Schizosaccharomyces pombe: one gene and its partners. Changing the gene in region 4 together with the main gene of any one other region gives a genetic interaction. Each region holds a gene or a part of one and is shown on either strand. Other genes may lie near its edges. The genes, in order: SPOM_SPAC17C9.11C, mkt1, msa1 and ndk1.

What was found.
Region 1: mutations in ndk1 (region 4) and SPOM_SPAC17C9.11C together harm fitness less than expected from each alone (positive genetic interaction), as found in Schizosaccharomyces pombe (one large-scale study listed by BioGRID).
Region 2: mutations in ndk1 (region 4) and mkt1 together harm fitness more than expected from each alone (negative genetic interaction), as found in Schizosaccharomyces pombe (one large-scale study listed by BioGRID).
Region 3: mutations in ndk1 (region 4) and msa1 together harm fitness less than expected from each alone (positive genetic interaction), as found in Schizosaccharomyces pombe (one large-scale study listed by BioGRID).

The regions. Positions count from the first base shown.
Region 1 is NC_003424.3:4,477,556-4,484,248, forward strand, and holds SPOM_SPAC17C9.11C (zf-C2H2 type zinc finger protein/UBA domain protein), read left to right. Parts: upstream 1-3,326; 5' UTR 3,327-3,349; coding exon 3,350-3,457; intron 3,458-3,602; coding exon 3,603-4,179; intron 4,180-4,236; exon of another isoform or gene 4,237-4,337; coding exon 4,338-4,375; 3' UTR 4,376-4,404; downstream 4,405-6,693. Other genes in the region: nuclear proteasome tethering factor Cut8, read left to right, coding at 295-1,083; scs22 (VAMP/synaptobrevin-associated protein family protein), read right to left, coding at 1,087-1,740, 1,822-1,937, 2,167-2,356; G-protein-coupled receptor Stm1, read right to left, coding at 4,405-5,220; TIM22 inner membrane protein import complex subunit Tim13, read left to right, coding at 6,523-6,639.
Region 2 is NC_003424.3:1,013,350-1,022,370, forward strand, and holds mkt1 (post-transcriptional RNA stability regulator Mkt1), read right to left. Parts: upstream 5,705-9,021; 5' UTR 5,527-5,704; coding exon 5,520-5,526; exon of another isoform or gene 5,479-5,519; coding exon 3,381-5,478; intron 3,321-3,380; coding exon 3,017-3,320; 3' UTR 2,754-3,016; downstream 1-2,753. Other genes in the region: dnf1 (P-type ATPase), read right to left, coding at 1-1,979; oac1 (anion transporter), read right to left, coding at 6,263-7,225; protein toe2, read left to right, coding at 8,568-9,021.
Region 3 is NC_003424.3:2,317,912-2,328,219, forward strand, and holds msa1 (RNA-binding protein Msa1), read right to left. Parts: upstream 4,915-10,308; 5' UTR 2,329-4,914; coding exon 727-2,328; 3' UTR 581-726; downstream 1-580. Other genes in the region: mix17 (CHCH domain-containing protein), read right to left, coding at 6,734-7,252; SPOM_SPAC6C3.03C (uncharacterized protein), read right to left, coding at 8,421-8,723; citrate synthase Cit1, read left to right, coding at 9,950-9,951. UniProt on the Schizosaccharomyces pombe protein: Negative regulator of sexual differentiation. Acts by repressing the transcription of meiosis-inducing, ste11-regulated genes.
Region 4 is NC_003424.3:242,509-249,060, reverse strand, and holds ndk1 (nucleoside diphosphate kinase Ndk1), read right to left. Parts: upstream 1,170-6,552; 5' UTR 1,134-1,169; coding exon 678-1,133; 3' UTR 501-677; downstream 1-500. Other genes in the region: gamma tubulin complex GCP5 subunit Mod21, read left to right, coding at 1-381; SPOM_SPAC806.06C (nicotinamide mononucleotide adenylyltransferase), read left to right, coding at 2,651-3,757; lyr3 (LYR family protein), read right to left, coding at 3,953-4,330; duf8901 (cobalt/nickel-dependent phosphatase), read left to right, coding at 6,120-6,144, 6,246-6,552. UniProt on the Schizosaccharomyces pombe protein: Major role in the synthesis of nucleoside triphosphates other than ATP. The ATP gamma phosphate is transferred to the NDP beta phosphate via a ping-pong mechanism, using a phosphorylated active-site intermediate.

The DNA of each region.
Region 1 (6,693 bases), 4.2 Mb from region 4:
TAGAAATTATAATCGACGGTTTTATTTCATTTGGGCTGAGAAAAAAATTAAATTGCTAGCTTTCATAAGTCGATACACTGAGCAATAGCCATCCTTCCGGCTTTTAAAAAAGGAAGCTCATTAACAAAGTATCCTCTATCTTTGTTTTATTGTTACTACTTTTGAAATTTTTTCCTCTTTCTTTTGGAATATCCATTTCTTTGTAATTTTCATTTTCTTTGTTATAATTAATCAGACGATTTCACGTTTGAAGTTGGTATCTTTATTTGTTGTTACTGTTCATTTCCTTAATTCATGGAGACCTTATCTTATTCTCAGATTAAGAAACGCAAAGCTGATTTTGACGAAGACATTTCTAAGCGTGCTCGTCAACTACCTGTGGGTGAGCAACTGCCATTGTCGAGACTGCTACAATATTCAGACAAACAACAGCTTTTTACAATTTTATTACAATGTGTAGAAAAGCATCCTGATCTCGCACGTGATATACGGGGCATATTACCGGCGCCGTCCATGGATACTTGTGTTGAAACGTTGCGTAAACTTTTAATTAACTTGAATGACTCATTTCCCTATGGTGGTGACAAGAGGGGTGATTACGCATTTAATAGAATTCGTGAAAAGTACATGGCTGTCTTACATGCGCTTAATGATATGGTTCCTTGTTATTTACCTCCATACTCTACTTGTTTTGAGAAAAATATTACTTTTCTTGATGCCGCTACAAACGTTGTCCACGAACTGCCAGAATTCCATAATCCCAACCATAATGTTTATAAAAGTCAAGCGTACTATGAATTAACGGGCGCGTGGCTTGTTGTTTTAAGACAACTTGAGGATCGGCCTGTAGTCCCTTTACTACCTTTGGAAGAGTTGGAAGAGCACAATAAAACATCACAAAACAGAATGGAAGAGGCATTAAATTACCTTAAGCAATTACAAAAAAATGAGCCACTTGTACATGAAAGAAGTCATACTTTTCAACAAACAAATCCACAAAACAATTTTCATCGTCATACTAATAGTATGAACATTGGGAATGACAATGGAATGGGTTGGCACAGTATGCATCAATATATTTAAAAACTAGAACAGAAGGCCTATAAGGAAACATATAATGGCTAATAGGAAAGCGGTTTGCACAGTAACTGTGTTATGAATTTGAGGAACAACCTTGGCACCACTAGTCGGACGCCCAAAAGACGATGAAACGCGTGCAAGTCCTATTTGATTTCCACTGTTTCCAGCGAACATAGATGGACTCGTAGCTGTTGATTGTCTTGTGTTATTAATTACATTAGCGGTAGATCTTAATGCATTATTTTCATTGTTAGGAGAAGTGGTAGTAGGCACTGACTGAGGCTTTGGGTAAGGTTCATTTTCAGCGACTGTTGCAGTAGGAGCTTTTACGGCAGTAGATGGGGCTTCATGGGGCTTCTGGTGAGAAACTGCAGATGTTTTAGGAAGCTGGGTATGCTGTGTAGTAGCTGTAGATGGAGCAGCTACGGGATTTGCATGGGTCGAAGGAAGTGCCGTTCCGTCTATTCCTTTAGAGTAAGATTGATTAACATTACCATTTACTGTGGTATAATTGTCAGTGGCAGAAGTAGGAATAGATGTAGTCGTTGTTTGAGCTGGTTGATGGTGAGCATTAGCATGAGCATTTGCAGTACTGGGGCCTTCACTATAAACACATCGAATTTTTCGTTCCGATATATTAGCCTTGCTGACTTGAGTCCACTATTAAAGTATTGGTTAGAACATCAATTATGTATGGCATGTATTAAAAAAGTAAATGTAAGTATATCTTTTATCACATACAATATCTGCTATATCCATTCCCTGTAATTCTGGCTTCAATTCAGTGCTCTGGACCAAAAATTTATCGCGGCATTTTGTGCCAGGAGCCGGTTCGTGATCTAGAGGCTGTAGGATAACTATTAAAAAAAAAGAAGTTAGTAAATGAAAATTTACAGCAATAACTAATGAGCACAAATTATCTTCCAGTGCACGCACAAAAACAATAAAAACTGTTAGTTTGCAAAAGAAAATCACGTTGATGACAACGTTTTTGTTCCACCCGACAACATCAATGATGGGAACCGCTTAAACGAATAAAATCAAAAAATGCAAATGAGGTTCAAAATTAAATATAAATTATCTTACCTTCAACACTTACAGCCGAATTGGCTTCAATTCGACCACCGTTGGGTCTCACACAGTACTGTTTAGGAGCAGTAGTTTTCACTTTGAATCCGATCGGATAAGGTGCAGTATTGCGAAGTTCTAAATCACATTTTACTAGTCGTGTAAGTGGTCGAGGAAACACAATTGTACTATCACATTCAAGAGCCATGATTTACGGGAAAGGCGAGTTTGTTGCGAGAGGTGGTACTACTTTACTCTGCGAAGTACCATTTCGCAGTGTAGCCAAAAATCGTGGCTTTACGTCACACATACTTGTGTGTGATTTTCCGAGGCTGAGCAAAGATTATGGTAATATATGGATACTGAAATAAAAGGAGATAATTATTCAAGTAACTGTTTTCATCGATATTATACAAAGCCTTATAACGATATTATTAAAATAAATGTGATATTTTGAAAGTAAAAAGTAATATATGCTAAAAAATATTTTGCAGTAGGTGAATAATGTACGAATGCAGTATGGTTATAAAATCCCAATAAGTATATGGATTTATTGTTTGTGAAATTAATAAATGATATAAATACCCAAAAAGGATGATTCAAGTTATCCTTTTTAATTTCTAAATGTCATGTTAATGCGTTTGAATTGTCTTAATTACAACTTAAGAATGCAAGGATGAAGTAAACATTATGATTTCAAAAAAAAATTGCGCATTCGTTTACACTTTCTATTCAAAGGAAATACGTTTTTTGGTTTAGACAATCATTAAATAGATATTGTATACTTTCGTTAATGGTCATTATGCTAGGGAAAAATCAACATTTTTATTTCAAGGAATATCAGCGATGCTTTAGAAAGCATACCATGTATAAAGGAAACGAATTACTCGAGTGGATGCCAACTACAGGATCACGAAAGTCAGTAATCATTTTCAATCATCGGTCTGCGGATGTCGTGCAATATATACAATCATTTATTCTTCTAATTCATAGCGTAATCGGTGGTAACTACAATTATTTTGTTTCATTTGACCTGTCATTTCTATTTCAATGACCAACAAATTTATAATGCTCTCAACTGCGATGTTTGGTAATACGATATTGTAGATATTAGCACGTTAGATGTTGAGTCGATGGAACGTAGGGCTATTTTTGAGCGTCATTGTAATTTGCCTTTTGCAACTACAAACTCTACACAAAAATGGTTTTGAAATGTTTGGAATGCGATAAATTGCTTTCCTCCATCGAAATGGCTGAATTTCATAGTACCAAAACCAGTCATGATCAATTTGAGGAAACTGAAGAAGAGGTATGTATAGATTTTACTCCTTTTACTTTTTGCTGAATGGTTGAAGCGTTCGAATTGTTAACCATCCTTATTATTATAATTCACGAAAACAATAATTTGTTTCACTCGATCCTTTCTTTTTATTAACAACGATTATAAAACATAGATTAAGAAGCGTTCTCCCGAAGAGTTAAAACAAGCTATTGAAGCTTTAAGAGAGAAAGCAAAGGAGAAAAAGGAAAAAGAAAGGATTTTGGCTCTGGAAGAGAAGAAGACAAATTATAAAATCCTTCAAAAATCCAATGATGAAACTGCACAGGCTATGAGAAAGATGCAGGATCAAGCCCGCTTACGTGACTTGCAAAAGATCCGTCAACAAAAGGCTGAAGATGCTGAGCAGCGTAAGAAAATCCTCGCAGAAATTGAACGCGATAAAAAACGACGAGCTGCAGAACGGGAAAATAAGAATTCTTCTGTAAAAGAAACGGCTGCTCCCATCAAGCAGCCTAAAAATGCCAATTCGTCTTCTACTTGTACTCGCACCCCTCCTACATCAGGCAGATTTTCTATCCGACACGATGGTCAAGTTTGTAATATAACTATTGCAGCTGAGGAGACGCTACGCCAATTGGCACAACAGGTCGCTGAGAAAATGAACGTGTCACCGCCAACTAAGTTTACCACTACCTTTCCCCGTGCCTCATACGGCACTGATGTATTTGATAAACCGGTTAACCAACTTGGTAAGTATCAAACTAGTGTTTACTGTCATCATGTGTGACATTAGAATACATGTTTTTGAAAGAATATTGTGTTGCTACTAGCATCTAAACGACATATCTTTGTTTCCTCTGAAAACTTTGAACTATAGACATGGAATATATTATTAACGCTTGCATAGATTTGTTTCCCTCAGCCGTTCTTATTCCGCAATGGTAAAGTTATGACCTTTTGATAATTATGCTGTGTTAATAATGATTACGATACTTGATAAACTGGTAGAAGATATATATATCAAGGAAGATGGTGCTGAACGCGCCAAGTATCCAAGGCAGGTTAGCATATGTGTAGTTTAAGTAATCGGAGGCGGGAAATACGAGAATGCTGAAAGCGTATGAAGTGTTTCCTACAGAGGCCAACACAAAAAAGATAATGGATAATCCTTCGGTAGACTTTGCTTTGTGATTCTTGATGATTTGAGGAATACGAGCACAGAAGTATAACACAGAACTGATACAACCGGCAGTAAACGGCCATGCATTCAAGTCATCATCACTCTTGTCAGAAGAGGCACTAGAAATAATTAAGTTTCCAACGATTGTCGAGACAATAACCACACATCCCATTACACCAAATTGTTGACGGGTAGAAAGGCGATCCCACCAAATTTGTTGTTTACCAATGGGTGCATGAAGACCTTCTTCTAATGAACGACTTTGGAGTAAGGGTTCGTGTTCACGACTGGCAATACGACGGGCAGCTTTCCAACGATAGTAGTAAATTTGCATAAGTAGGGTACTGTCAGAGACAATGTAATAAAATGAGAGAACCAATACAGTAGAAGAGACATTTCCGTAAATGGAACCAAGTACATTGAAGAAATCGCCAATAAGCCAGATGATTAAAAATAAATCAGAGATACTTTCACCAGACTGGTTTTTATAATTTTCAAGTAATTGAGGGATCAGTAAAACGACCCAACATCCCAGGGATAATGCTCCTAAAAATGAAGACAACTCCGTGAGTATGTTAGCCATATCAAAAGAAGGAGCTATCACAGACATGGGACAAAAATGCTTGCGAACAGATAATTTTAAAATGAATTTGAGAAGAGCTTGTCTAAGCTTTTTATGGTCAAAGTTTTTTATATGAGTGTGGAGGACAATAAATAAAAAGAACGGGAAACAAAGGGCTACAAAAGCGAAGCAACCTGAAAGGGAAATCAAACTATTAATTTAATAGGAATGATAAGCAATTATTAAAATTTGTCAACTTCCTCGAACGTGTAATGCTTCAGCACTATAATATTCGCTGATTTATTTTAGCGATCCAAGAGATGATACTTAATGAAAATTCGTTACAAGTATTTTTTTTTGTTTTAAAAAATAAACACTAAAAGGAATATCTATAATAATAATAATAACAATGGTAAACAATATTTCTCCCACTGTAAAGAAACAGAAGAGATTTGGTGGTGAGTTTGGCTCTGGATAAGATCAACCTCCCAGCCGTCCTGTTATTTATTTACCTCGGGCAAGGCTATATAGAGATTTCAAGATAAGAAAAATTTGCCGCCCATGCAGTTTCGCAGAATTAAGAAAGTGTCCGTGGATTTACAGATACAATTGATAGTCAATCCAAAGGTATCATTCTAAAGAAATATAAAGGAATAGTAAGCGAAATAGATTTTCCTTCGAATAATCCTATTTCACTTAACAATATAATTCTCAATGTAAATAACAGTCGCATTAATTTTATCAATGTCAAGCTAACTCGTTTTTGTTATAAAATTTAATACACCATAATATCGCTAGCAGTATTAAACATTGAAATGTTTACGTGACTTGTTTGATTCTCAGATTATTTGCAGTAAAAGATGTGCTAATTCCATGATTTAATTTCGAGACTATAAAACTCTATAAAAATTTCTTACAAATTGGGATTTTTATTTTTTTTTCTAAACAAGGGTAATGAAAAGTCATGAACGATTCATTTCGTATATTAAAATATTAAAAATAATAATAATAAAAAAACGCTGAAAAAACTTTTATTTCTAAACTCACCAAAAGGACCCGAATAGTATATCTATCCATTAGTTTAGAAATATTTTATTAAATCTTTTTTTTTTATACCAAGTAGAAAACAAAACAAAGATTGCTGTCTGGTTGTATCGCATATGTCAGCATATTAGAAAATCCATTTTCTATTAACGAAGTCTAATTGGTGATGATGGCCGGTTTCTGAATTAGTCTCCCTAAGTACACCGTTTGGTACTTTCCACGAACGTACCATTTCCTCATTAATTTTCCTTGTAAAGGAGTAAAAATTATCCACATTCATAAGTTTTAACGTTATACTTAAACAAAATGGGCATTTTCGGTGGAAATAGTGGAAATGCACCTTCTTCTGAAGACAAAAAATCCATTTTCATGAAACAAATTCGTCAGGAACTTGCTGTTGCTCAAGCTGGCGAATTGATAAGTGTATGCTCCATTCATTTTTTATGTTTTATTGAATGTTTTAACTAATCGGTTTAT
Region 2 (9,021 bases), 770 kb from region 4:
TTTTCTGGATAGTACAAATCAATGTCACTTTGCACTAAAAATGTTTGAAAAACACGTATAATCTCCATAGAAACGTAAAGGGAAATTGGAACCATTGTATTGTAAAGAATGATAAAAGAAACAAGGATAGGAACAAATGAAAGTTTACTGTTGGTTAGATACCACAGCTTCCTTTCCACTTTTTTTTGCCAAACAAAATAGGCAGCAGTACAATATATAGCCATGCTAACAACCAATGCAAAAATGAAAATTACGATTCTATTAGTGACCTTTTGCATTGATGGTGCCTTTACACTAACGTTTCGAACAGCATTCATGCGAATTTTGGATTCCTCGCCAGTAAAAATAACCAAAGCGAACAATTCTGAAGTATTTCGCAAATTCGAGCCTCTGTAAAGAACATCGTTATTAGACAATGGTATTTCTCCTTGTATTGAGTCAAGTTTCATACTTCCATTAAAATTGTAAAGATCACCATTCGGGTCTTCAACAGTACACGTACCACTCAATCGTATTAAATCATTAATGTCTTTGCAAAGAGAGCGGAGCGTGGAGTTTACTAGTCTAGTTTTCAAGGATGTTTCACCATCAAGTGCAGCTGTTTCGATGTAAATAGCGCCATTAGGATTGGGACTCGACAAAGCTATTACGTCTGCTGGAAGAGTTTGATCACTTGTCAGTCGAATAATATCACCAACTCGAACATCTTTCCGATCACAGCTAGCCCAAAAAAAAGTAGGCTTATTTGCAGGTATGGAGCGAGTAGTAGTTAAAGTAGAGTTATACAAGGGGGGTTGCGGGTCAATGTTAGGTTTGACACTTAACGCCGGAGAAGAGGGGGAAGAGGGAGAGGGAGGAAGTTGAGGTGGATCTTCTGAGGTTCTTTCAGGTTCTCTTTCATCAGTTGATCGAATAGTACTCCTTGAAGCAGATTCTTGAGATCTACTTCTTCTCCACCGCCGACGACGAAAAAAAGATGAGTGCTCTTCAACAATAGGCGGATCTACATCAACGTGACGAAGAACTTGAGTTTGAATTCTATTTTCTACGCGGTCTTGGCGATATCGCCGATAATTATCAAACCCTTCACGAAGGATTGCAATTGAAATAAATATAAGTAGAGGGATGATTGTAGTGTAAGTACCGGTGGTTGACCAACCTGGAATCATTTGCATAATAGCAATCAGCAAAAAATAACAGTTGGCAGTTTTTGAAAATTGAGCAATGATCTGTAAAGGGACAAAATTGTATTTGTTGTACCGAGACGAAACAATGCTGTTTTGCATATAGGGCTTTCCTGTACGCTCATCAATTTGGGAGGAGTCATCGTAAGGGTTTATGATAATTATTCGACCATGACTCGACTTCAAATACCGTGTATCACGCGAAAACAAGTTGGATAAGAAATTGGAAATGAACTGCAAAGGATTTGGTATTGTAAACTCTTTATGCCGCGACTTTAAAAATTCCGGAGGAATTGGAGGACGCCCATTGAACACAGGTGATGCCTCACGAGGAGAAGTAGGCTCAATATCATCTAATGGGATTTCTTCCACAGGTCCCTCTAGGAAGGAAACATGTGCTTTCTTCTTTTTTCCCTTTCCTTTCGAGGTCTGCTCAGTTTTGGTAGATGGAGTTAACACTGAAACCATAGAATTAGCTGTCAGTTCTAATACCGACTTGAAAGATGATTTCAGTCTGCTATCTGATGGCGAATTAACATCGTGTGATTCGTCAACTTCAACAGAATCCAATTTTTTGCTGTCCCCATTTATATCAATTTCATCAAGCTCATTTTCATCAATTCCTAATGGAAGAGCGCTATCCTGAAATCGTACATGAATATCCTCTCTTCGTTCGTTAGTGCCATCATCTGCAGCGTTCCAATTAAATGCACCATCTTCTTCTCGATTAGTCGTTTCATTTAGAAAATTTGTTTCAAATCCATTGGAATCGCCTGCGATACCACTAGACTTCATAAGTGCATCTGAACAAATAATGTTGGTTGTTGCTAGATTCACACCAAATGGAAAATCAAACTATTATTTGATGGTAGCTTGCTGAACCACACGGGACATTGTGCTACGCCTTACAAAATGAGACTACACTAATAGCAGTTCATTAAAGTTAAGCTTAATGAACTCCACAGTAATGGCTTACGCTTGCTTAAGACTTTCTAAATAGTGTGTCAAGTCTCGCAATATGCAATGTAAACAATAAGTTACAGAGATTTTGATTAACTGTCAGTTACTTCAACTACTACCGTTTATATTTAAAAACTGACATTGTCAGAATTTTGTTAACTATCGACAAATATTATTAGATGTTAGTGTGAGAATTGGAGATTCTCAAAGCTAGCAAGTTGTCGTAAACAGCATCTATACAGTAAATATCTTAAAACAAAATTATACTATCCAGCTTGTAAGTGGTTAAACTAAGCAAGTCTTTCTGTAAGCACAAGGTTTTTAATTCGTGAAATTGATTAGGTAAAATTATGTTTCTGATGCGAATTCGGTTTTTTGTGAGTGAGCCAGTACACATAAACTAAAATCTAAAAAATCCGCTTGAACTTATCAAATAAGTTAAAAATTATTCCCATACTATAGTGTAAAAACAACGGTATAAGTTATTTTTTGACAGGTAAGTGTATTGCTAAAAATAAATATAGTATCCTTTAGAACAAATTAAACTATATCTATAAAAAAGTTTAAACATCATTGGGTTTTCATTCAAAGCTGTGCTTCTCTATTTTTCTTTCCCTTCCTTTTTTCGGGAAGAAACAATGTAGTTGAATATTAATATTAACAATACTTTACTTGTTCGAAATAATATCTCAACAATAATCAAGTGTAATCACATGAGTGTATAGCATGTTGAAAATGCTTCGACAGTATGAGGGAAAGTAATTCATGTAAATGTGCATTATGACTGTGCCGAATGTGTTAAAAGCTCCCGCTAAAAGAAGGATACTTCTCTCACTAATTTATTTCTATTCATAAACTACTAGTTCTGGTCTTCATAAGCCAAGAGAAAATATCCATTGGTTAGTAAGGAAGAGTTTACTTAAAACGAGCTTGCCAATGGCACTTGTATTTTCTGCTTCCTTAACCCCTTCCATAAAAGTTTTCCAGAATTCCAAAAACTGGGCAATATGGTTTTCCGCAGATCCAATGGTTGGGAATTCCTTTTCTATTATTTCATAAGCCTTCTGGATGTTTTCCTGTTGAGAACTGGCTTCTTGCTCTTTTGAAATGATTTCAAAAAAGCGCTTGACAACAAAACCTGAGACAAGGCTACCATTTATGTTTTGAAAAGGTAAGCTAAATTGGTTAGAAACTTTAAATATAAACAAAAAAGGAGAAAGAGAAAAAAACACGTACGTTTTTCGGATAAGTTTAGGATCTATTTTGCTTTTGTCGACGTTTCTGTTCAAGATGACCGAGGCAAGAATCATGGCCATGAGTTCCTTCAAGTTGGATCCGAAGCTAGTTTGTAGCTGATAAAACTGTAATAAATTCTCATCAACTATAGAAATTTTACTAACTTCAGGTCTCTGTTTTATTGGTAGAAATGTTGCAACCTTTGCCAAGAACTCTGTGGCAGAAGTTATGGATAAATCGGCGATGCTTGCACTTGAGGAGGAAAGTAAAGAGGGCTCTTTTAATTGTCTTAGTCTAAGAAGCTCGAATAAAACAACAACGGAAGTTTGGTTCTGTAAGTGACAATTTTCCAACGCTTTTAACAAGGGGCATCCCCAAGATGTTAATTGATGAGATGTTAAAACGAAAGATCTAATTTGCAAAAATCTGTAGCAAGAACTTAAGACGATTTCCGCAGTAGAAGACAGAGGATGCTTGGGAGGGTTTTTTATGCCAATATTACCTTCAGTGCAAAAGCTTTTCTTTACAAATACCGGATCGTTCAAAGCACGTAGTAGATCAAATAATACAACGGGTTCTTCCTTTAAAAAATTACTAGATAAATAACTCGGTAAGTTTTCTTCGTATATCATCCATGCTCTCGTATCATTATACAAAGGAGGATCATAGCTGTGCATTACCTTCAAAGAAGCTTGCTGATTATGGCCATGAAGGGAAACAATATCTCTGGCTTGGTAAAATCTGTTAAGCGGTTGGGTCAATAAATTTAGCCCCTGCGACCATATTTCTTCTAAATCGTCAACAAATCGCCGTTGATCCACAGCCGCTACAGCTGCTGCATTGTCGCGACCAGGATTTAAACCAGAATTAGCACCAGAAAATGTTCCTTGTGATGCTTTGTCACCAATATGTTGTTCAAGTATGGAAACAGGATCACTAAAACATCCAGATACTAAAGCACCTATCATTTTGCAAGGAATAAGACCGCGAGAAATGTAAAAATAAATCTCGTTGGGAAGACGGGTGCCAAAATATATATTTATGTCGTTAGGAACAGATTCTGTGGGAACTGGTGGTAAAGTGAGACCTTTTGTATCCATCACAATTCCAAACTTAGAGAAACAAACAGCCCTTTTGTACTGTTGAAGATAATCTTGAAAAATGGGCTGGGGAAAGATTTCAGCAAAATGAAGGACTGCACGATACGCAGAACCAAACATACGAACAAGCTCCATTGCGCTTTTAATTAGAAAAGTACCCTCAATCTGAGGAAATGTAGGAGAAATAGCAGTACCACACAATAAACAGGAATCGATGAACTGCTGCCATGAAAGGCCGTTCGTGTCTTGAAGAAGGGCATTTCCATCTAACCATGTGAATGAACTTTTAGCGGCCGAATTGATAGTTGTTTGAGTTGATGGGGATGAAGGGTCAGATGAGATTTTAACGTTAGAAGATGTGTTCATAGAAGTAATAAATTTTTTAACACCAAAAAGAAGCAGATCCGTGGAACCATAGATGGCATCGATGTAAGGTGAAGATGTGCCGTTTAGAAAATATGCTAATTGAGCCATAGCCAGATACGGGGCGACAAAATACTCCACATTACATTGATCTAAGTAAAACTTTACCTGGTCGCAAAGACGATCTAAATGATCTCGCTGATTGGTGTACAAAAGTGTTGGTTTACTTTCGCCGTAATTCGCAGGACCACTTGCGTCCATGCGGTACATATTACGCTGAATATTTGCATCATAAGGATCAAAAGCTTCGAAATCTGTCAATGCACTATGACTTTTTTGCTTTCCCGGCACTTCCAGCTGGCTGCTGGCTTCAAAGGTAAGAGGTATACCATTGAAAACAAAAATGGGTGTGATATTCTCAGTTCTCAACTGCTCAAGGAATTCCGAAATTCTGTGTTGTAGATATTCGGATTCACCATTTACTGCCAAACTTTGAAGTTCCTGTGGGGTAAAGGAATGAATAATTTGAGTCAAGTAAAAACTTGCGTCAATACCCAACTTACAGTTTTGAAAACTGCTCAAGCTAGATTTATGTTGATGCTTTTTGTCTATGATAAACAAATTCAATGAACGAACTAAAAAATTAGCAGATGAGTAGCAAGGTATTTTAACTTACTTGTCATTTTTTTTCTTTTTTTTAACTGAATTTACCAAACAGCAGTTTAAACCGTAAGGCGGTTTTTTTTTACTAAACCTTTAATAGATCCTTAAAAACAAACAGATTATTTTTATATGTAACGGATATATTCAGATTTTATTATGTTGTACTGAATAGAGGTGTCCGATCCGTTTATTAGAGTCAGCAGGAACGAGCAAATTAGTGAACACGAATACTACGATAAGAAGTTCAGAAAATATTTTATTAAACTAACATGATTTATCTAAAAAACATATAACTGTTGGCGAAATGTAAAGATTTCAAATAAAAACGACGCAAAATGAAGAAATTTATCCATTGTGACTACACAAAGCGGTAATGTTTCCAATCTTTAATTATAGAGAAAATAAGTATATTAATAACTAAATAAAAGGTAAGTTGATATACAAACGCAGCCAGATGCCTGAAATCCAAAAACAAATACGTACATATATTGAGATAACTGACGGATATATATTACAAAAGACAAAAACATGCCGATTGATCAAAAACAGCTTGAAAAGAAAAATCGACTTTTAAATGAAAGTAGAGTGGAAATAAGTAACGAGACAACGAATGTAAATAAAAATCGTTCTTAGATACAAACATCATTTCTTTACAATTTAACTGTTCACTTGATATACACCAAAGCCACTGGGGGTTTTTATGGTTTAGTACCAAAATTATTTATAAATAAAGAAACGTGCGTTTGAAAAAACAACTTAATCCTTTTGGAATTTCAAAAAGAGTTTATTGGTTTGCTCCACGAAGGTAAGACAGAAAATTGTGTGAGGAGCGATTCTGGCCAAGTGAGCACCAAAACCCTTATATAAGGCAAAGAATCCTTCAGAGCGGATTGTTTTAAGGATGCAATCAATCGGATTTTTATAAAGCTCCTTGTTCTTTTGGTTGTACATACGAGTCATAACAGTATCGAAAATTTGCATGGTGCAGCATACACCAAATCCAGAAACAGCACTAGCAGTTAAGTGTTTGATCATACCCTCTTCCAATAGATTGTAATGCTCAATCATGCGTTTAGCCCAATTATAGATAGGAAGCTGAACAGAGGAACCAGAGACAGTACGGAGAATGGCAGCATCAGCACCAACAAACAAACCCTTAACACCATTTTCCTTAATAATACGACTGAATGCATTAAATATATGCTTGTAACCATACTGCTGGCCAACGGGAAATTTAGGAGAATACGACTGCATGCGAGTCTTAACCAAGAAAAAGGGAGAGCCAAACAAGGCACCACATAAACCTGAACCGGCGCCACTTGCAACGTTAATAGCTAATTTATTACCCTTGGGATCATCAAGGAACCACGTATTCAGAGTACGTCGAATCGGTTCGTAAAACCCGAGACGACAGCCATTGAGGCAGATTTGATAAACATAAGCAGTACCAAGGCCTCGTTGAAGACCTCTTATACCTTCATGTCTAGCGATTAGAGAAAATGCCTGACCGACGCTTTTGTAAATTCGCTTAGAAGGATCCAATTTTGTCAATTGACCTTGAAGTTGAAAACGCGTTTTAATAACTTCGAAAGGATTTGTCAGTGTTACAGCACCACAAGCTGCAAGACCACCTGACAAAAATCCACTAACGGGACCAAGTTTTTTCACCTGAGTAGGATTGTGTGCAGGAAGGGCTTTGATAGTTTGTTTCTCAGACATGACTTAATATTGGGATTTTTTCTTCGAATTTAAACAAAAAAATCTGCCTCAAATGGCAATTCAATTTGCGTAGCAAGTGTTGGCCGAAGGAAAAAGAATTCTTGCAGTTGAGATTTTTTCAGTGATAATAGCCTTGATTAAATTGTGCGCGGAAAATTTACCATTGCGGCAATTTGGGAAGGCAAAACGTAACTTTCGTACGGACTCAAAAAATAAGCAAAATGATACTAATAAAAAAATTATAGATTGAATTGCAATTTTTTTATTTACAAGGCACCCTAATTGCTCTATACTTTTTCCATTTTAATGCTAAATTAAACAGGTCACATGTTACTTATGTTTACTATTTGAAAATACAGATACTAGAACGCACTTAACCTCTTTAAATTAAGGATTTACCTACAATCATATATATTTTTTTTTTCTTTCTCTGTCCTACAAATATTTGGTAGAATTTTAAAATTTTTTGAATAAAAGTCATTTGAAAGTTTGAGTAATGTTTGTCAACAATAAATGCGATCGTTCGAAGGAAGGAAGGTACACACAGTTAACATTTAACTGACTTTACACTTTAAAATAGGATTCGTTGGAAACGCATGGTAGATAATGTTAAAGTAAGACAAATGCAAAATCATAGTAGCAGTAGCTTTAGATGTCATTCACTTCTGCAATGTTGTACTATTATAAAGAAAATGCCATAAAGTGATTCAAATAAGTGCATGCTCTCAACCGTCTACCCTTAACCAAAGTTCTTACTCAGACAATTAAGATGCCTTTTAGTAAGATTTTATACATACGGGGTATAAATTGTGATCAATGAAAAAAATGCAAGTACTAAATTTGATGGATAGTTTGTCGCAAGGCAGGCAATTGAATTTTGAAATAGAAATCAGTCATATTTAAGAATGGTAATTTGTTAGTAAATGCATTAAATCCCTGTGTAAATTATATGTTTCTATTTGAGTGCTTTACGTATCTAACGCATGTTATCCGAAAGCTGTCTGCTGTTGAGATTGCTTACTATTGAAATTAGTGGATATTTATAAAAGTTGTCCAGTGTGCCTTGTGTTTGGTGTTACGAATTTACTTTTCGCCAACATCCAAACACAAGTGTCTTTGGTTCAAAATCAGTATAGCAATAAGATTTAAAGATATAATTCTTGCCTATTTAAAGCCAAGACTACTTTTTTATATATTACGGAATTAACTTCTTTTCGCTCCTGTCAATTGGTCGCAAGTATCATTTTTTTGACGTCTATTGATTCAAGAATTAGAAGAATCTAGCATTCAATTGTACTTTATCTTTCACAATATTATATAACTTGATGTTTAAGAAGAGCATATGAGTGAAACAACCAAGTCTGGTTCTAAAAAATCAGGGCAGACATCACGTAGGGCGATCCATTCGTGTTTGGCTTGTCGAAGAAAAAAACTTAAATGTGATCATGGAAGACCTTGTTCCAATTGCTTAAAGCGATCAACAATCCAGTCATGTATTTATATAGATCCTGGGAAAACTAATTATGACAAGCGCTTTGAACGGGGTAGCGAAGCTGACGAATTGATAGATCAGTTACTATCCCGAGTTAGCATGCTGGAAAAACGTTTAAATGAGGTCGGCACTAAATCGCAATCTGATTATGAAAACCAACAATCTCATAATCTTCCTTCCACGCCTTCGGCAGATGCTGAGACACAGCGAAACATTGGTTCTCTTTCAGTATTAGATGATACAAAATCACAATATGCTAACTACTCGTCCTCTTCACACGTACTCTGGCATTTAAGGAATTATC
Region 3 (10,308 bases), 2.1 Mb from region 4:
AATATATAGCAAACGAAATTGGGAGATGTATAAAGAATCAGTATAGCAAGGAAACGTATACCCCGTATATAATAGTCCCTTGTAAACTTATGCTTGTCCTGTCTTTATAATTTTTTTCTTTTTCTGGTTCTTTACCTCACGAACCTTTTTTTGTATTTAGTGTCTATAAGGAATATTTATATGAAACTAGTGTTTTGAGAAAGTCTAAAGCTATGAAATAGAGGTCTGTTAAAAAAAAAACTAATTTTCTTTTTTCAGTTCGCCAGTAAGCCAAAATAAAAAGTTCACGTAATATTACAGCCTCAAATTAAAAATTTCATAAAATGAATTGACTTTATATAGTATTTTTGTAAAAATTTATGTAGTGAAAATAATCAAATGGTTAGAGTGTATACGATACATGTGTGAGAACATCTATATTTGGGAGCATATATAAATAAACTTCTATCTAATATCATTATATCGTTAATGCGTAAAGTAGAGAACTGTTACGAGTTACACTAATTCGTAAAATTATATAGAAGACATATATATGAACATAATAACATTTATGACTCTAAATCTTTTAAATATAATTGCAGCCAATTTGCATCTTTTAAGTAAAATAAATTAGATAATTATTAGTGTTTTATAGAATATGTACCTAATAAAAAAAACTCCGACACTTAAGGACTGTATAAAGAAGTGAAACCTCAATCAGATAATGAAGGGAAATTCAAAATAAATCTAATTCCCATCCATAGGTGGGTTATGCGTATAATACATCGGACTGTACGATTGAGGCATAGCCATTTCTGGAGAATAAATGGGATAGTACGACTGAGGAATTGATGTGGGAACGGCACCAGGAGGAAGGGTAGCCATTGACTGGTGAAATGTTGAAAACTGATCCATGGGTGCAGGGATTGGCATCATTGCATTACGAGGTGGTGAAAATGGCGCTGGAAACATCGGATATGGATAGGAGGGATATTGATATTGAGGGGAAAATTGCTGCATTGGTCTTAGTTGACGAAATTCAACACGCAAAGGCTTTTTCTGGTGTGGGGACCTCGTCTTACCGCAGACGGCAGCATAAGCGGCTTGTTGAGAATCAAACCTTAGAAAAGCAAAAGCAGGCTTCTTGCTTTGATGAATTATTTTACAATCGATTACCTTTCCATATTTGGAAAATAGATCAACTAGTAAGTAGTGTGTGCAATTTACTGGGTCGAGTTGGCCAACGAATATAGAATAAGGATCAATCGGTGGAGGCATTGCAGCAAACATCATAGAGGGGTTCATGGGATATCCAGGCTGTTCAAAAGAACCATCTGTTGGGAGTTCGGCCTTGCCGCTTTCTAAAGAGGGTATTGAAGGTAATATACTCGGTAAGGAGCTTAAAGATTCATTAGGAGTACTGAATTCAGTAGAATTGACCAATGAGTGAGCAAAGTATGAGGGACTTTGAACCGCGGAATTTGATCTTCCCATGGTAGAAGGAGGATCGGAAGAAACTGAGAATGGAATAGGGGCAGGTGCTTTGATAACAGGAGTGTTCGACTGATCTTTGCCTTGCGACTTTCGCCTTCGACTATGTGCGTTAGGTGGAGAAAACGGGGAGGAACCTTTCTTCTTATAGTGACCGTTTTGATATGTCACATTTTCCGCCCAAAGTACAGGCCAGGCAGAATGCTTAAGCGCGGTATAGGCTGCGATTGCTTCATCCCTGTAAACAAACCGTACTAAGAAAGCGGATTGATCTGGTATTTCCGTGACATCTTCAACCTCGCCATAAGGTTCCAATAAGTTATCTATGTCTTTTTTTGTAATGTAAGGTTGATGGGGTGCAGAGGATATACGGATTGTCCTATTAACTTTGGCGCGCTCTATACGTATATGACGGCCATCCAATATCGTGTTTTGGGCTTCAGAAAGTGCTTTCGATGCATCATCAGTATTTTGAAATTGAACAAAAGAATAAGGCCTTTGCAACCAATCTTTCAAAACTTTGACATGCAACAAAGGACCCCACTGTTGAAAGTAATCTTTAACAGTGGCAGTCAGCTCTTCCTCAGACCTTGAAGAGTTTAAGCTAGCAACAAATAAACAGGCAACTGGTTTTCCACGGACAGACGACGGATTTAATACTCCACTGGAAGAGGAACTTGGGATAGGGGTGCTTGATGATGCAGTTTCCAAAGGAGGCTTTATAAAGGTAGTGGAATTATCATTTTCGGATAAAGAACCTGGGGGAATGTCTTGTAAAAGCGTTGTTTTTTCGAGTTGGGCTGATAATTTTTCGACAGGAGAATGCAATAAAGATACAGACGGAGAGGAAACAACCATTTTTAAATAATGTGTTTAAAAAAAAAGTTTGGAATGAGAAAGGATCTATAAAGGGGCATGAAACAAGGATGCCGGATTGATATCAAATTAAAAAGACAAAACTTTATACGAGATGCCTGCGCCAAAGTGGGATGGAGGTCGTATCAGTCGATTATATGGAATACAATAGATAGTTATGAGATGATGTGTCAACAGCAATCCAAAAGCTGCGTAGAAAAAAGAATGAAAAGTATTTCAACTGAAAAAGTTAAAAGTTAATTAATTTAAAATTTCCTTCAAAACAAAGTTTAAAAAAAACCCCAGAGAAAAAATTTGGTCAAAAGAAAAGATAAATAAAATTGATCAAAGAAGGGATAGGAAAAAACGAATGGGAAAACTTTTACTCAGGTAATAAAATTGCAGAAATAGGGAAAGAAAAAAACGCAAGCGTATGGTAATTTAGTGCAAAAATGCAAAGATAAAATAGAGATTATACACGTATAAATAAGAAAGAAATGGAATGGCTCTTAAAAATGACGAGTCAAAAGAAAGAAAGAAAGAAAGGATGAAGATTTTGAGAAACCAGCTGAAACAGAAATGGAAAATGAAAAACCAAAACCAGAGATAGACAGTAGGTAAACCAAACGAGACTTTGCAGTCTAACAATAGTCTAAGGAAAGCCCAAAGAATAAATATATATTTGAGTGGGGGAAACGAGTATTTCCAGAATAAGAGTCAGATGATGAGAAAAGTAAAATGGGGAATAGAAATAGCTTGCACGGTGATCAGACCGTGAAAGAAATTTCACAAAGATGAAATTTCAGTTTTTGGGTGATGGATAGAGAGAACTCTTCTCAAGTGGAAGCTAAAAAATAATTGGATAAGCTTGAGGGAGTAGCAAGTTCGAATTGAAAAAGGTGAAAGAATCAAAGAGCAGTACAATTGCAGTTGAATATCTCGAAAAGCTGAACACAGAGAAAGTTTGAGGTGAAAAAGAAAACAAATAAAAATAAAGAAGCCAGTAAACGCAACAAAAGGTGCAAGAGGAGAGCGAAGGAAAGCTCAATGGCACAGACAGAATCAGATGAGAAGAGAAGGTAAACGCAGTCTCACTAGTATTTCAAGCAATGTGGAGGTATTCGATAGATAACAAAAGAAAAGGAAAAAAAGAAAAAATGGGTGATCAGAAATGCAACAAAACTGATAAAGACAGGATGGAAGACGGGGAGACGTCTCAGCAAAAAGGAAGCAACCCACACAAAGAGAAATTGAATTTAGTATGTTAATGGAGAAAGGAGAGAATCGAAAACCCTCGAATAGCAATTGATTTAGGTGAAAGCAAAGAAGGGGGTTATTCACGACGAAGGTTTAGATCTGCTCGGAATATACGAGGAAAAGACATTGTATATCAAGACTACTTGCAAACTCGGGGATTTCAACACGTGTTCTTCATCGGTAATGTAGGCGGCATAAAAGAGGACAAGGGACATTAGGGAGCAAAACCAGACGATATGATTAACTAAAGGAGCAATACATCCGAATCCTGCTTACACTCTAATAATTAGTCAAACGACCAAGACGCTGCCTCAAATCCTCAATCTTTTAGTAATTTTACCGTTCTATTTGGGCCATATCATTTTACTAAATTCTAGCCATTCTCCTTTACCACGATTGATAGGCAATTGTCCATTCGGAAGTATATCACTACTGCCAACATTTCCCTCTCCACAATGTCTTAGATAGTGGGTTACAGGGAGTATAAGGAACAAGCTAGTATTGACAAATGATGAGACATTGAGAATTGGGCACAGGGTAATGGGCTAAAAATTGGGTGCTGCACCGAAGCATCCTTTGGTTGTGAAGATAAGCAACTACAAATTTTAGGAGTAAGTTAACAACGGCCCCATGGAGATAGAAAAAGGAAGAATGCTAAAAGTCGTGAACAAAGGCGTAATCGTCAAAGAAAGGTAAATTGCAAGCACAATGAAAAAGATGATTTTTTACAATAGGATCCAATAAAGCGAAAAAAAAAACAAATAAATAACTAAAGAAAAATAAATTGAATTTTGATTAGTATACAAAAAAAAAATTAAGCACAATCTAGATGAGCAACAAAGAAAAAAAGGGAGACCTTTAAAAGAACAAGGTGAATATGTTATATTACTGTCTGGATTAATGACTGACAAAGACAGAATACGCAAGCTATAGCCAAGCTAAGAAACGAAAAAAAAAAGAAAAGAAAAAAACAAAACAAAACAAAGGTAGTTAGTTTGTCAAGCTATGAATAAACTATTTTCGTCGTATTTTCTTGAGCGTTCTATAGACTGTTTATTCAACAAAGCAAAGCAATAGTATAATACTAGTAGTAAAAGGAGTAACAATAGGAAAAGCCAGCTTAGCGTGTACCGAGGTTTTCTCAAAAAAAAAAAAAAAAAAAAAAAAAGGAATCGCTTGCTGAGATATCGAACTCTACCCCTTGAATCTAACATTCACATGACCTTTTGTTTCTTTGTTTGTCCCCATTTCTAGATGTGTTTTTACCTTGGAATAAAGTCTCGGTATTCTAACTCCGATTGCCTATCTCTAACACTTTGTAGTGGGATGTGCAGGGAGCAAGCTAAATGCACGCACTCTGATGGAGTGAGTTCTGGATAAGTGACAGCTGAGTATAACGATAAACATCGTCGTACAGTTTAGCTTCCCTTTGAAACAAAAATTTTAAGTATGTGTAATGGTGCTTATTTATCGAGGAAAAGGGTGAATCTATAATAAAGAATGGATCGTTGGAATGTAGAAAGTAGTCGATACTTGAAAGTGAAAACAGATGTTGAAAAAATTAGTCGATGTTTAAATGTTTAAAAATAATAATAATAATACTAATACTAATTTTAATTCTTGTATTTTGCTAGTTAAACTAGAAAACTGCCAACGAAATACAAGCATACATACATATCTATATCTATATCTATATATAGATATAGCTATGTTCCTTTCCAGACACCAGTAGACTCGGTCTATATCGCCAGCATTTCTTAGACTAGGATTAGAATGGGATAAAAATATGAAAAAGGGAATGCTGAGGAAGGATGAATAAGAGTCGTTATATGTTTTTCTTTACTGTTTACTTTTTCTTTTTTTCTTCTTCTTTTCTAGCTCGCCTTTGGCCCAAATTAAGCTCATTAACCTGATGCTGTCAGATATGACTTGACACTCTCTGTGATACTACATATGCAGACAATTTCTGGACGAAACATTAAATTTTCCGATCTTCAATCAACGTTCCGAAATGGTCTACAGAAAGAGTAACAACAAATTGTATGTAGCGTTGGATATGAAAATGCACTGCGTGGCATAGCATACAATACTCTTACAAATGCGCTTGGCAAAGACGATTCAATTTAAGATTGCTGTTATGCTTACAGTATAAACCAAAGCAGCAAGAATGGAATCCCCGTCCCGTAAATTTTTTTTTCTTGGTAATACGTTAAAAGTATAACTTGGCAGACATGTCGAAACCGATCATTTGTAAATCAGCTTCTCTTAACTATCTCTAGTGGATGCAATAGTATGTTAAACTAACAAACACGAGTACATTTGAAAGACTCATAAACCAAATTCGATGATGATCCTTTTGTTGATAAACCGTTTTATGGTGGATCTTTGGCGTATCCTATCCCTTACTCTTCTTTCAGATATGAAACAAAGTAAATAATAGCCGAGGCAACCATCTATAAATCATCATTGTTTAGCTGCTTCCCCCCCCTAACATGGGACGTAAGACAATGAAAGTTTAATTTGCTTTTAATTTTCGTTTTGAAAAAAGTTTGTTAGATATGGTTCGCTTCCAACCTTCCTACTTTAATAAACAAGTCGGAACTCCAGCTAGCATAAAATCTGTGGGAGAACTCTCAAAATGCTTTGAAGAGTGACTGTATCGATTGATTGATTGATTGATGGGGTGAACTAGGTAGCTGTATGAACTGAACCATCCCTACTATTAAGAGGTATGAAAACGTACGCATGTTAAGAGAAGCTCTAACTACATTACCATACTGTTATGTACTACTCTTCTCCAAGCCAGATCATAGAACTTTCTAAAGAGCATAGATTTCATTTAATTTATTTATCAAGCTTTCTAACTACGTTCTTCGTGAACTTTTTTATTACTGGGCCATTTTAAAAAAAAAGAACTTCATTACTAAACCAAACAAAAAAAATACCATATATGATTTATTTCTTCTCGTTCTTATACTATGTCTTATACCAGGGAAACCAGTTATTATTTACTGCTTAACAAATGCTATTAGGGTTCAACGTTCTCGTTAGTAGAAACATGAAAAAAAAAATTTCGATGCTGATGCTGATGCAAACAAACTGGGCATAACTTTTATTTAATAGAAAAATAAATAAATTAGTTCATTGCCTCTTATTGTTGGTTGGACCACATGGCCTGACAAGCCTTTAGCTGTTCCAAATAGTAAGAACATTGACTGAACTCATGCTCATTTATACAATCTGCAAACATTTTAGCATCGCCCTTGCAAGCATTCTTCGCCTCTTCAGAAATAGCACTGCTGGCAAAGGTGGATGGAGGTGCTGAACCATAAGCGGCTTCTGGAACACTGTTGCTGTAACTAGATTGAGGTACACTAGTATCAGCTGGAGCATTGTTGGAACCACTTCCAGAAAAACCGCCTGTTATGACGCTGCCAACCGTGTGTCCGATAGCACTTCCAATACCAACACCAGCCGCTGTACTAACCAGATTGCCGAAGAATCCAGGTGAGCTGCCTCCTTGGACGGCGGTGGGAGGAGGAGCCTGTTGCACACGACTAGGAGCAGGAGGAGGTGCCATTGTCCTAGGAGGTAAAGCAGCAGCAGTGGAAGCACTTCTGGCAGGAGCTGCACGGCGAGGAGGAGGTGCGGCAGAACGTCTACGAGGCATCGTACTTATTTATGTGAAGAGATGGAAATGGGCAAAGGAAGTAAGAGATAAACAAAAAAGGATTAAATTTTATGAAAACTCGTTTACGATATCTGCAAAGGAATACCGTCAATGAAAGGATAAACGATATACGAGTGTTTAAGAGGCAGATGGCGGAGAGCACGAATATATATAGCGTTGCTAGAAGAAGCTGAAGAAAATCGATGAATGGAGAGAATCGTTCCGACCAAACATCGTCTTCGCTATAGCGGATTGGAAGACATGAGGTACAACTTGGATATTTGCACCACTCAAGTCGTATAGACCAGATGCCCTTGGGGTAACAGTTACCTAACAATCCAAGCTGGTTTACTAATACAAATGGATGCACAAGTTTTCAATAAAGAAAGAAAATTGCAACTTCCATCACTTTCAAAACTTTTATTTATGATTTTATCTATCATTCTCAATAATCGTAAATTTTGGACACATGTATGCAAAGCAATTTGACTTTGTTTTTTTTTTTTACGTAAAGAAACTTTTTTAGCCAACATTATTTATAACGTAGTGGATAGAATCATGTTATTATTAATTAGACGGTATATATTCCAAAAAATAAAAATAAATAAATAAATAATAAATACGATAAGTAAGGGAATATATGAGAAACAATTATATAATTGATCAATTTAACCTAAATAGATACACATCATCGACTTGGTGAGTCAGAGTATAAATGAGATTATTGGAGTTTTGTTATGCTATTGTATAAAACTATGAAGCAGCTCCAGGTTCCACACTAGTGAAATAGCAAGATTGTGAAAAATCAGCTTATATAAATGTTTCAGTTGATTTCAAATGATGTTACTCTTAACTCGTTTTAAATAAATGGGTGTATGTGAAATAACGAAGCAATTTGGGAATGCAAAATCTAATATGTACGTATTAGTTGTTGATGGATCTCTTTATATTTTTATATGGAAACACTAGTAGTCATGGTTTTAATAGAAAAGCAGTCTAGAGAGATATGTTGGAATTCGATACTTTGCATCAAAGTGTTCTATTTATTTATTTATGTTGCGTCTGTCAAGTCAAAGCACTTGAAATGACTGTTGTTGTAAAAAAAAGGAATCCCGAAGAAAAATTATATGTTTTTGAATTAATTCATTTCTATATTTATTTTTAAGAGCTATTTTTGAGTTTTGAATCCTCTAGCCAAAAAGTAGTAACTACAGTCTACACGCTCTCTTACCTTGGCCGACGGGGTATGTACAATACCAACTCGAACGGTTCCCCACATGGTTCTCCAATGTGGGATACTTGGAATGGTATTCAGTAACGATCTAAAAGTCGCAATTCTAATATTCCACCCCCACTTTGTCTCATTGGGGTCCAAGTTTTTGGATGGGAATAAAAAGCGAAACGAGCTGTAACGCTTAGCGTTAGTGAAAATAGCGATTACCACTAGCAATCCTAAGAAAAAAACATCCATCTAAACTTCGTCAATAGCAATGGTTGAGCAGTTAGAAAAAGTTATCAAAAACTTTCTTACCTATAAAAATTATTTTCTTGTCGCTTGTCAACATCTCTATTCATTTATTCACTCCCGATACATGCATATGCATTGCCGTAACGCACATGCAAGAGATGAAGCTACTTCAGTCAACGTTCATTGAGTAAATATTTGCATAGCTAAGCAATTCTTTTCTGTATCTATTGTAGTACTATGTTTGACTGAGAAATCCGCTACCGCGGAAGTTCTCCTAAATTTTGATCTTTACTGATATCATTAGCTCGATCGATCGGAGCAACTACCCTTTTTTACCTGATCAAGACAAGCAAATTCTCGAAATTCGGCTTGTTATCTATTTAAAATTTCAAAAAAAAAAAAAAAAAAGAAAAAAAACTTATGAGAGATAAAATTTGTAGCACAAAGTATGGTAACCAAGAACCAAAGATGCGTTTATTGATAGTAACAGTAAATAGCACTTCACTTGCAAGGCCAACAATACAAGACACTATGGTAATGTAGATCAGTACGTTTTCAAAGCATAAAATGTACAAATTGTTTGTTGGTAGGAAATCAATACTTATTCATACCCATCTCGTTTCTCTCATTGTTGAAAGGATATAATATCAATCTATGTAGTCTAATTTGTATCATTCAACAATTATGGAAACATCGGATACGCCTCTTTTCAAATTTTCTTACTCCTTAATTTATTTTTGATCAAAGTACATCTAAATAATAAAATATTATTTTTTCCTGCGACGATGAACCGGGTTTCCATGCAAGGTTGCCTGTCCCAATCATAAAAGTGAGATTTGACTTTTCAACGGGTTTGTAAGTTGTAGGCTAAAGTTCATTAGTAAATATGTGATAAATAAGGCTTTCTTTCTTCATTACAATTTTTTCTTACTGTTTGGTGGATTTCGGCTTTGTTGCCCAAGTCATTCTCCACAAACCTTCTTCACTTTACTGAATTTTAAGTGGTTTTGTATTTCGTATTCACCGACATCAGAAGCGAGTCTATATGCTAAGGTTGTTCCTCTCCTCGGTTTTGGCTAGTTGTTGAATGGACAGAATCATGGGGCACTGACGTCGCACCCTCCCCTCCGTTCATGCTAATGGTACTCAGGTTTACCGAATAAATAGTCCCCCATCCCAGCAATTATTCTTTCCTTAGCCAATATCGGTGCATTGTAATACCCTTTTTCATGTAAGTGCAAGCCTAAAGGTGTTTGAGATTTGATCTTGTCGAGAGGCAGTAGGATATTCTCTAGTGCATAGTTTAGAAAATCCTCCTTTGTGATAATTTTGATTTTGCGTTTCGTTGGCCTTTTGGTCTTACGAAATGTCGGTTTTCTTGAAAGAAAGTCTTATATTTTTGGTTGGAAATATAGTTTACTCGATGCTCTAATTCATGTCTGCCAATGCTAGGACTTTTTTCATCTGCGCTTATCTTGGGGTCAATCCTATACATAGCGTATGCAAATTTTCACTCAAAATGGGTTCATTTCTCTTACTTTGAAGAGGATAGAAAAGGTCTTCAAAAGCTCAATTTTTTTTTCTATTT
Region 4 (6,552 bases):
GAAAATTCTATATTCAACGGCGTTTTTGAAACGCTTAATAATGATGTTGATGATGAATCTGTAATAGGGGAAAAAGAGAAACTTATTTTAAAGCAAAAGCAGAAATGTTTATCTGAATTTTTTGTTGATGACATAAAGAAGCTCTTAAATGAAGAGCTGCTCAATTGTCAAAAGCAAGAGCTACCAGATGTCATGGAAAATACATATCAAATTTCGACCGTTTCAGGAATTAAAAATGATCCGTTATTTACGTTGGACCAAACCTGTAATATAATAGCGAAACTAGCGGACAATCTCATACATCCTTCTGTTCCCATTGGTAGTTCTGCCTATCGATGTAGACGAAATTTGGCTGACTTATTATTCCTTATAATGCCATGATTACGATAAAATGCCATAATATTTACCATTACGTGTATAGAATCAATAGATTTCATAAAAGTAACCTTTTGGATGAGTAAAACCATACTGACTTACATGCGATTTCTCTAGTTTCATGTCGTTTACTAACGAATGATATTTGAAAAAGACCTATATCTATTAAAAAAAATGATAGTGTGCTTTAATGAAGGTAGAAAATCATTAGTCATATTTATTTGCTTTGGGTGTTGCTGATAGTTTGCATCACCCATAACAAACACGAGTCCTTTTGAAGAGGCTCTTTAACTTCTTCTTATTCATTCGTAAATCCAAGGTTCAATTGTACGATCGTAAACTTGGATTTCCGAAGGCTGGAACCAAAGTTTAATTTCACGATTAGCGCTTTCTATGGAATCAGAACCATGGCAAACGTTTCTACCAAGGTCGATACCATAATCACCGCGAATAGTGCCAGGGGCAGAATCCAGAGGGTTACTGGCGCCCAACATTAAGCGACCAGTTTTCACGGCTTGTTTACCTTCCCATATCATGGCACATACAGGGCCTGATGCCATGAAACCAACGAGTTTCTCATAAAAAGGCTTTCCTTTATGTTCGGCATAATGTTCTTCCACAAGATCACGACTAGGAACTAAAAATTTTAGAGCACGTAGTTTGTAGCCCTTCAACTCAAATTTTGAGATGATGTATCCAATCAGTCCTCGCTGAACTGCGTCCGGTTTCACAGCGATAAAAGTTTGTTCTGTCGACATATCAAAAATGCTTATACTCGGTGATATGAGGTGGTTGAGTAGATGGGAGCTGTCCCGTCTACTATCCCATATAAAGGATTACGGAGCAAGGACAAATAACACTCACAATATGATTGCATAAACAAAGCGGAAACAGATGTAAATAATAAAAAATGATAAGAATCGTTATAGTACACCTTCTTATATTTTTAGAGCACCAAGCCTCAGATATCTTAATGGTCGTAAATTATTGTTTACAAAAAATGCATATTTACAAACACATTACAAAGCATTCAAAGCGTACCCGTAGACGGTAAGCCAGTTTTGTTTTTTTACATACGTAAAAACTCTCCACAAATCAAAAGATTGTAAGGCTTATTGTATACTATATAATGGATTTGTTATTATCCCAATCGCCAACTTCTTACTGTTTTAGGACCATGTAACGAATGAAACCACTAATAAAAGTTAGAAGAACTTGTAATTGATACCAACTTAGTATTGGGATACCTGCAAAATTTGATTATCAACCAGTTGATAATAGATACAATTCCAAGTACATCTACATCACTTCATGCAAACGGTTTTTTCCGTACATATATTAGTTATCCCTATACATATAATTGTTAACATTGTCTTGATATACGAATAAGGCTTTTATGATTATTCCTAGAGTTTTATCCTTGTTTGCGAATTTATGTATATTCGTAATGGCATATACTCGAAAATCCGGGATTTAGATAAGCTTAAATCATTATATGTCTATCTAATGAGCATGACAGCCGTCTCACAATTTTACTCATAAACGGACGAGGGATAAGTTGTTTTTCTTAACAATTCAGTTGTAGTATCATCACTTTTTATTTACATTCTTTTCGAGCGCTGTTTATCTGCACATTAAGTCACCATTGTACGCATAACCATTATACCACCAAAAACGCAAAAAATATCAGTTTAAGCTGTAGGTTGTTAAAAAGAACCGTTTTCCTTTCAAAAAGGTTTACCTTTAATATTTATTATTGATATTAGTGACAAGAGGCACTGAATATCAGTTTTGAGCCAACTTTGAGGACATAAAAGTGCTTAGATCGGGAAACGTTTCTTTTGCGATTCGTCGTCAAATTTCCTCTTTTCTTTTCTTTTTTATTTCAATTCTTTTTATAGGTTATCCTTCATTCTTTTTCTACAACTGTTATTCGAGAGTTGCACTAAGAAATCACAAGTAATTCCAACCAAATTTAGACGCTGGTTATACATTATCGTTTTTCCATACCTAAAGGGTAATTTTAATTTTTTTCCTTCGTTTCCCATATCCTACTTTGCTATTCATTTTTCTTTAGAATTTAGTATCCTCTTTCTCCCGCAGCCTTTAAATTTTTGATCCTATTTGTTCGCTTGTTGTCTGTCATTATTTGGAAAAAGAGGGTTTTCTTATTATACGCGGTTTTGATCGATTTTTGTATTATTATTACCGATTCTGTTTCTTTATTGACCCGATTGTGATTGTCTACCATTCCTCGTCATAATTCCTTTTTAATATGCACACCATGAATGGGGATAATTTTGCAAATTCATTTCCGAAGAATCCCCTGTTGTCTCGTAATTCTTCGTCCAGTAACGTTATTCAATATTCAGACGAATTTAGTCCAGATGAAGACTGGTTGAATGAACATGCTGCCAAAGAGCACGAAGAGCGTATTCGTAGGCCCAGCGTCAATCGTGCATGGCAAAAGAACTCTACCTCTGGAGGCCCCAGCGTGAGTTTAGAGAAGCGTGAAGCTGACGTTGCTAGTTTAGGAGAGGTGATGGATCTTGAAGAAGTACCGCGTGGAATCACTAGACAAGCCCGACAACTAAATGAGTATATATTTCCAAAACATCGCTTTCGGAATCATTTAGTTGATGAAGGAAAAATCCCTTTGGTATTAGTCGCTTGCGGTTCTTTCTCTCCTATTACCTATCTACACTTGCGAATGTTTGAAATGGCTACAGATACTATTCAGGAGCAGACTAATATGGAATTAGTTGCTGGTTACTTTTCTCCGGTTAATGACCACTACAAAAAAGAAGGCCTTGCACCAGCTTATCATCGTGTACGTATGTGCGAATTGGCATGCGAACGTACGTCTAGTTGGCTTATGGTGGATGCATGGGAAAGTCTACAACCTAGTTATACTTGTACAGCACGAGTACTGGATCATTTTGATGAAGAAATAAATCAGAAACGAGGTGGTATAACATTATCGGATGGTACTAAACGACCTTGTAAAATTATGTTATTGGCAGGAGGTGATTTGATTGCGAGCATGGGTGAACCTGGAGTGTGGTCCGACAAAGATCTTCATCATATTTTGGGTAAATTTGGTTGCTGCATCGTAGAACGTACAGGAAGTGACGTCTGGGCTTTCTTATTAGCTCACGATATTATGTTTGCATATCGTGGAAATATCCTCGTCATAAAGCAACTTATTTATAACGATATCTCATCTACCAAGGTTCGGTTGTTTATTCGTCGTGGCATGTCAATTCGATATTTATTACCCAATTCCGTTATCCAGTACATAGAAAGATACGCCCTTTATCGTGACGCTGAACCTGTGAAAACTATTTTTTATCAGTCGCCGTTTGTGCGTATGGAACCATAAATCTTATGAGACACTTTTCTTGGTCTGCCATAAGTAATTTTGTGTAATCCAGTGTTTATTTTCTGTTCTTCTATTATACATTAGTTGAATGGCTTGTTTCACGATTTCTGTGCTCTGTAGTTTTATTTTCTTATACCTGACAAGAATTCGGATTCTAATAAAGCCAATGGAACATTATTTTCTAATAGAAATGTTTTATAAATATAAATTATATATTGTTCCAACCCTTTGAAGACACCATTCATAGGTGTCATACGCTGATAAGAAGTATGGCCTTTCCTTAGCCGTCGAATAATGTGCAAGGCGTTGACCAGCTTTACGACGAAACATTTGAATATGCAACCGATTTTTTAGTATTAAGTGTTCTACAGATTTCCTGCTCGCGGCCATTTCCAAAAATATAACTGTATTTTCAACTTTTTCCTTTGAATAAAAGGAGCAATTGTTTTGGCGAAATCCGTTACGAAGCAAATCCCGGATTACAAATCGATGGCCAGGAAATCTAGTTGAAATAGCCGCGGCCATACCTGCTCTCCAAAGTTGTCGAAATGCTGATGCATGTTCTTTCTTCATTCCTAAATTAAACCTTTTATTTATTCTTCGATTGAAGGAGGCTTTAATTATGATAGCAGCGTGAAATAGAATAGACAAGGCAAGTTGGTAAGAGCGATAGAAGGACGCGGTTAATTAATCCTTAGAAAAAAGATTAACTTCTGAAGGTACTGACGTTTATGCGCGTCTTTTTTGGTGATTCATAATCTCTATATTTTTTTTTTGAAAACAAAATGCTCGTAAAAAAAATTGAGAGTGTTTGTCTTCCACGATGTATTAGTAGTTGCAACAGGAAGTTGGAAAAACTACGTAGTTTGGGTGGTCAGTACTGTAAACAACAGTAACCTGGGTTACTGTTTTGTTACTACTGACCTTGGAATGTCAGTGCTTGGAGTATTAAGAGGTAAAAATCTTTACACCTCAAAACTGAGCCTATTAATGAAACGATCAAGTGTTTATATAAAAAATTTACTTTCTATATGTTTTGTCTTATCATTTTCTTAGTACCAGCATTTTAATAGAATACTTTTGTTTTGCTAGTAGTAATTTTTTTAAACGTCATAAACACTAACTATTTCGAATGTGCAAATGGTCGATGTTTAATAGTATTTTTGCTCTAAAAATCTTCAAAATGTATTTTAAAAAATAGTATCGTATGTGATGATAGACTAAAAGAATTTTAGATACCTTCGACATATTGCAAGTGCGCAAATCAATTATAAAATCATTTTTAATAATTTTATTTATTATTTTACAGTTTTTACTTTATGCGTTTACGTGTTTTTACGATTTATTGATATTGACATCACACTCATCACTTGTAATTTTTTTGAATTTTCTTCAGACTTTTACAATTGATTATTTATCGTTAACTTTTAAATCCATAGCTTATCATTTGCATTAGTTTATAAAAGAATTTTCTCAGATTAGCATTGTTTGGTTTTTTATTTTTTTAGCACTGAACTGAATGGAATCGGTGTAACAGAAGGAACTTTTCAATTATACTATTTTGTTGATTTTACATTACTATTATCTTCAAACATTTAACTCGATGCCGCCATTCTGTTAGTACGCTAAATTTAGGATCAACAATCAATCAATAAATAAAATATTTATGTACTTAGCTGTGAGATAACATACATGTTTAATCTTTGAAGTAAAATACATTTTTTTATAACGCAGCTTCCGACGACAACGCAGGTACCTGCTACGCAATCCGTGATATAACTCGATACTACTATGTAGTAAAAGTTCTGAGTAACCCCCCAAGACAGTACTGAGCAGTTTCAGTATAGTCAGTCATATATCAAAAAGGGAGAAACCTACTTCAATTCGTTTTTTATGTAGACATCGAGTGATCGTCTGCTAAAGCTAAGTACAGAATAAGCCCAAATTAAACTACTCTACAAACGTTTGATGAAATCGATGGTAGCGTCGTAATCATGGTTGACAAAATTTCAGAGGGAAGTCGGCTTAAAAGTTGTACTAGTCAATGCATTTAATAATTCTTAGTACATTCAATAATAAATATATATTCGTTTGAAGATTTCATCTATGTTCATCCGTCGTAGAATTTGTATACTATATATATATTGACTCGAACAAATCCCAATCTTACCGTAAAACTAATGTCAGATTTAAATTAGAAGTAGTAGTAATAGTTTTCTCCGAGATCTTATTCTTACTTATATTTTATAATATTATGTCACCATCGGCAAGCGATCTCAGCATTGGCGCTTGCATCCTTCAATATATTAAGTAGTTCACTTAACACCACGGTGATTGTTTGTATCTCTTTTGAATCGTCCAAATGAAGTTTCTAAATCCACCGTTCCGTATGTAAAAATTAATTAGTTTATCTTTATTAGGGAATAAAGATTTCTTGCTAAATTATTATTGTTTTGAGATTCCTCATATTAATGCTTTGTTAACCTAGCGTATTCTATGACTAGTGATCCTGAATCATTTGGTCACGAATGCTTTACTCGTCGATGGGGTATTATTTTAACTGGCATTGAAAAAGATGTATCTGAACGCCTATCCAAATTGGCTTCGACTTCTAAGGATTCTGAGGTGGTTGCACAAGGGAAGCCTCTTCTTAACGACTTGGAAGCGTTCAAGTCAGATATCAAAAATGATCGTCCTTTAGTCCCCCTTGAAGGTGAAGGTCAAGACATTGTTGAGTACAATGAAGAGTTAAAACAGCTTGACAATGCGAGCTGGGGAAACGCTCCTTGGTTATA